Saccharomyces cerevisiae S288C: one gene and its partner. The main gene of each other region encodes a partner of the protein of the gene in region 2 in a complex. Each region holds a gene or a part of one and is shown on either strand. Other genes may lie near its edges. A codon is read from its position in the direction of its gene.

What was found.
Region 1: the proteins of TIM9 (region 2) and TIM10 are in contact, whole or in part, in a cryo-EM structure (PDB 6LO8), measured with the Saccharomyces cerevisiae proteins. Residues at the interface, in NP_010894.1 of Saccharomyces cerevisiae: Glu17 (codon at 863), Gln18 (codon at 860), Gln20 (codon at 854), Met21 (codon at 851), Phe24 (codon at 842), Met25 (codon at 839), Tyr28 (codon at 830), Ser29 (codon at 827), Asn30 (codon at 824), Leu31 (codon at 821), Val32 (codon at 818), Glu33 (codon at 815), Cys35 (codon at 809), Phe36 (codon at 806), Thr37 (codon at 803), Val40 (codon at 794), Asn41 (codon at 791), Asp42 (codon at 788), Phe43 (codon at 785), Thr44 (codon at 782), Thr45 (codon at 779), Ser46 (codon at 776), Lys47 (codon at 773), Leu48 (codon at 770), Glu52 (codon at 758), Gln53 (codon at 755), Ile56 (codon at 746), Met57 (codon at 743), Ser60 (codon at 734), Glu61 (codon at 731); in NP_011869.1 of Saccharomyces cerevisiae: Gln16 (codon at 823), Gln20 (codon at 811), Leu28 (codon at 787), Lys35 (codon at 766), Asn39 (codon at 754), Lys43 (codon at 742), Cys61 (codon at 688), Arg64 (codon at 679), Cys65 (codon at 676), Ala67 (codon at 670), Lys68 (codon at 667), Tyr69 (codon at 664), Glu71 (codon at 658), Thr72 (codon at 655), Asn73 (codon at 652), Gln75 (codon at 646), Val76 (codon at 643), Gly77 (codon at 640), Asn79 (codon at 634), Met80 (codon at 631), Met83 (codon at 622), Phe87 (codon at 610).

The regions. Positions count from the first base shown.
Region 1 is NC_001140.6:115,034-117,793, forward strand, and holds TIM10 (protein transporter TIM10), read right to left. Parts: upstream 869-2,760; coding exon 587-868; downstream 1-586. UniProt on the Saccharomyces cerevisiae protein: Mitochondrial intermembrane chaperone that participates in the import and insertion of multi-pass transmembrane proteins into the mitochondrial inner membrane.
Region 2 is NC_001137.3:115,460-118,121, reverse strand, and holds TIM9 (protein transporter TIM9), read right to left. Parts: upstream 912-2,662; coding exon 648-911; downstream 1-647. Other genes in the region: URA3 (orotidine-5'-phosphate decarboxylase), read right to left, coding at 1,152-1,955; Arf family guanine nucleotide exchange factor GEA2, read right to left, coding at 2,322-2,662. UniProt on the Saccharomyces cerevisiae protein: Mitochondrial intermembrane chaperone that participates in the import and insertion of multi-pass transmembrane proteins into the mitochondrial inner membrane.

The DNA of each region.
Region 1 (2,760 bases), on a different chromosome or scaffold from region 2:
TGTTAGAAACGGAGTGACAAGAAAAAATGAATAACAGATCAAAAGATTACGAATAATATAAAACGTAAAGAAATTGGTGGAATTCTACTATCCTCTTCATTTTAGACTATTTTTTAATATTTCCCTTTAAGGAAAACAATATGTAACAAAAAAATTTCTGCTCTCCATTTAATTGCATTTCTACAAGGAAGAATACGCAGAAGGACGCGCAGAGCCCTAAATTGATGTGCTTTTTAACATGCTGAGCCGAGTGCGTTTCGGTGAAATAACACGAAGATGCGTTTCAAATTGAAACTAGTCAGTGTTATCTGCATGAAAAGGGAATATCGTTATGCATTCAGTTTTCCAATAGAGACATTTTTTTTTTTTTAGATTCGGCTTGCTTTATCCACCTATGATCTTGTTTTCAAACAACATGTGCCATGTAAGATAAAAAGGTAAAGATGAAGTACAGAAAAGAGTATAATGTTACTTGTATATACAGGATATGAATCAATAATACTAATTATAACGTTGAGTCGAGTAAAACAGCTTATGGATTTCTTTTCTTATTTTCGTCTTATCATTACTGCTTTAATGCACATTTCTAAAACTTACCGGCTGCGTTAAATGATTGGCCCATTTTCTGCATGTTTTCACCGACTTGAACATTGGTCTCAAAATATTTGGCCACACATCTGTCTAGGCACGAAGATTCATTCTTATTCAGCTCACCCTCGGAATAAGAAGTATTGATACATTTTTTATAACAGTTATTAACCAATTTATTGAACATGTCTGTGACCAAATCTAGTTCAGCTTCCGCAGCTTGAATCTTTTGTTGAGATGATAATTGAGGCTGACCACCACCGAAACCTAAGAAAGACATGTTTTTCTAAGTATGATAGTTCCTTCTTTTGCTTGTTTATCTGTTAAAAGACATGAGAGGGGAACGAGGAGAGTAATAGTTCTTTAGAGAGCTTGCTCTTGTACGTTCACTGCCAGCTCTCTCGCTGAAAAAATTAAAGAAAAAAAATGTCCGATAGCTTCAGAGGGTGATCATCAGCTACGAATTGGGAAATCAATGCAAAAAATGCTTCCAATCGGATTTGAACCGATGATCTCCACATTACTAGTGTGGCGCCTTACCAACTTGGCCATAGAAGCTCTAATAGTGATAGGACCCAGATTATATTTAGTGACTTGTTGATAAATGTTTTAAAATATTACCTTCGTGTCGTTATCGTTACTGAGGAAAGATTTGCAAAAAATAATTACATACTTGGGCTCTTCTGAACGAACAAGTTAACCAAAAAGGTGTATATTACTTCCTCTTGTTTTGTTTCCGGGCTAATGCTTACCTTTCCTTTGTTTCCAATGTTCTTCTTTAACACCAAAACATACTATTTGAGAAATGGGTGAATGTTGAGATAATTGTTGGGATTCCATTTTTGATAAAGGCTATAATATTAGGTATACAGAATATACTAGAAGTTCTCCTCGAGGATATAGGAATCCTCAAAATGGAATCTATATTTCTATTTACTAATATCACGATTATTCCTCATTCCGTTTTATATGTTTCATTATCCTATTACATTATCAATCCTTGCACTTCAGCTTCCTCTAACATCGATGACAGCTTCTCATAACTTATGTCATCATCTTAACACCGTATATGATAATATATTGATAATATAACTATTAGTTGATAGACGATAGTGGATTTTTATTCCAACACTATTTGAGGTTTGGCAACTGTTGAAATTATTGTTAGGACATTGTTAAAAAAGGTTCTTTTATTAGGTCTACAAAAACAAAAAAAGTTTTTTCACGAGGACAGCGTGAATCACAAAGGTGAGGTCAATAGTTTTACATAATAATAAATAACGTTTTTTTTTTCTTCCTTTCATGTGTTGCCTTTCTTTATCCAATTACATTGTCAGCCCTTACATTTCAGTGCCTATTGAATTTGTTGACCACTTCCCATCAGCAATACCATCCTCTTACGCAATATATGATAATATACCCGCGACATAAATATTAGGTTAAAAACAGACGGCAAAATGTGCCTTGGGCGGCAAAATCATGAGAAGCGCACATGTCGTGATATCAATAGCACGGAATTCCAGAAGAGAGAAAATACCAGCACTTATAACAAATGATCACAGTAAGCGTGAAAAAGAAGAGCCTGTTGCTACAAAGAACATTGAAATGATAAAATAGTGAAAGAATTCCAATGAATGGGAATATGGATGGCATTTTGGCAAGAAATTGGGCGGTAAATTTTCGTAAAGCTGATTGATGGTCAGCAAAACTCTCTTCAGAAGAACCAGAGAAATGGGCCAATTCTCACGAAGAAAATTCTTATAGTGTGTAAGCATAGGTAACGATCACGATACCATTAATTACCTGCAGTCAAGAACGAGATTTATTAACTGAAGAAAAAAAACAGACCATTTCCCACAAAAATTGTCGACGTTTAACTTGTGACTGATAGAAAGTTATAAAGTAAGCTATTAATGGAGGTTCTGAACGCATGACATGCTCCTCTAAGGGCTAGAATAGAGATTATAATGTTATTTGAAGATTGAAAGTCTGTTACCCTTCTTAGAGTCATCCATTCGAACGAAGAGTATCTTTTTTTAGAATTCTTATCATTTTTTTTTTCTCTTCACATTCCAATACGGGCAAAAAGCGAGAAAAACGATGATTAATAAATGAAAAACAGTGATTAATCATCCGACAAACAGACAAATGCAAGAGAGCAAAAAGTTGGGG
Region 2 (2,662 bases):
TTGTTTTACGTTTGAGGCCTCGTGGCGCACATGGTACGCTGTGGTGCTCGCGGCTGGGAACGAAACTCTGGGAGCTGCGATTGGCAGTGGAACAGTGGTAATTCCTACGATTAAGAAACCTGTTTACAGAAGGATCCCCACCTATGGGCGGGTTATCAGATATTATCAGGTGGGAAATTCGGTGGAACACAGTGGAGCCTTGTCCTCCGGGTTAATGTCGCTTTTGGCATTGGCCCCTGCTCCTGAGAGAAGAAATATACTGGGGAACCAGTCTTTACCGACCGTTGTTATCAGAAATTCACGGAGTTCGGCCTAGGTCGGACTCCGATGGGAACGGCAACGGTTGTTCCGTTTGACTTGTCGCCCGCTACGGCGTGAGCGTCAAGGTCTGTTGAGTGCAATCGTAGGACGTCATTAGTGGCGAACCCGATACCGATTACTGCTGCTGTTCCAGCCCATATCCAACTTCCAATTTAATCTTTCTTTTTTAATTTTCACTTATTTGCGATACAGAAAGAAAAAAGCGATAGTAACTATTGAATTTTGTTTGGATTTGGTTAGATTAGATATGGTTTCTCTTTATATTTACATGCTAAAAATGGGCTACACCAGAGATACATAATTAGATATATATACGCCAGTACACCTTATCGGCCCAAGCCTTGTCCCAAGGCAGCGTTTTGTTCTTGGAAACGCTGCCCTACACGTTCGCTATGCTTCAAGAACTTTTCTGAGCACTTCATGATGCATGTTTGTTCCTTATTGGTTAGCTTTGATGTTGTGAAGTCATTGACACAGTCTGTGAAACATCTTTCTACCAGATTAGAGTACAAACGCATGAAATCCTTCATTTGCTTTTGTTCCACTACTTTTTGGAACTCTTGTTGTTCTTTGGAGTTCAATGCGTCCATCTTTACAGTCCTGTCTTATTGTTCTTGATTTGTGCCCCGTAAAATACTGTTACTTGGTTCTGGCGAGGTATTGGATAGTTCCTTTTTATAAAGGCCATGAAGCTTTTTCTTTCCAATTTTTTTTTTTTCGTCATTATAGAAATCATTACGACCGAGATTCCCGGGTAATAACTGATATAATTAAATTGAAGCTCTAATTTGTGAGTTTAGTATACATGCATTTACTTATAATACAGTTTTTTAGTTTTGCTGGCCGCATCTTCTCAAATATGCTTCCCAGCCTGCTTTTCTGTAACGTTCACCCTCTACCTTAGCATCCCTTCCCTTTGCAAATAGTCCTCTTCCAACAATAATAATGTCAGATCCTGTAGAGACCACATCATCCACGGTTCTATACTGTTGACCCAATGCGTCTCCCTTGTCATCTAAACCCACACCGGGTGTCATAATCAACCAATCGTAACCTTCATCTCTTCCACCCATGTCTCTTTGAGCAATAAAGCCGATAACAAAATCTTTGTCGCTCTTCGCAATGTCAACAGTACCCTTAGTATATTCTCCAGTAGCTAGGGAGCCCTTGCATGACAATTCTGCTAACATCAAAAGGCCTCTAGGTTCCTTTGTTACTTCTTCCGCCGCCTGCTTCAAACCGCTAACAATACCTGGGCCCACCACACCGTGTGCATTCGTAATGTCTGCCCATTCTGCTATTCTGTATACACCCGCAGAGTACTGCAATTTGACTGTATTACCAATGTCAGCAAATTTTCTGTCTTCGAAGAGTAAAAAATTGTACTTGGCGGATAATGCCTTTAGCGGCTTAACTGTGCCCTCCATGGAAAAATCAGTCAAGATATCCACATGTGTTTTTAGTAAACAAATTTTGGGACCTAATGCTTCAACTAACTCCAGTAATTCCTTGGTGGTACGAACATCCAATGAAGCACACAAGTTTGTTTGCTTTTCGTGCATGATATTAAATAGCTTGGCAGCAACAGGACTAGGATGAGTAGCAGCACGTTCCTTATATGTAGCTTTCGACATGATTTATCTTCGTTTCCTGCAGGTTTTTGTTCTGTGCAGTTGGGTTAAGAATACTGGGCAATTTCATGTTTCTTCAACACCACATATGCGTATATATACCAATCTAAGTCTGTGCTCCTTCCTTCGTTCTTCCTTCTGCTCGGAGATTACCGAATCAAAAAAATTTCAAAGAAACCGGAATCAAAAAAAAGAACAAAAAAAAAAAAGATGAATTGAAAAGCTTTATGGACCCTGAAACCACAGCCACATTAACCTTCTTTGATGGTCAAAACTTATCCTTCACCATAAATATGCCTCGCAAAAAAGGTAATTAACATATATAGAATTACATTATTTATGAAATATCATCACTATCTCTTAGCATCTTTAATCCTTTTCTACATCAGATAACTTCGGTTTGTTATCATCGTCTGTATTGTCATCAATTGGCGCAGTAGCCTCAATTTCAACGTCGTTTGACTCTGGTGTTTGTTCATGTGCAGATCCATGAGATGATGAACCGTTGCCCTTCTCAATACTCTTCTTATCAAGTATTAATTGCTGTAGCTTTTTTTCAATATCTGAGTCCTCTACAAATTTATTGAAAATACTCAAAATTTTCAAAAACGTTTCGTTGCTTGTCTTCCCTAGTTTCAAATAATGCAAATAAACATTTGAAATTATTGTTAATATGGATGAAATGAGGATTTTCTGGTCTTCCTGTGTTT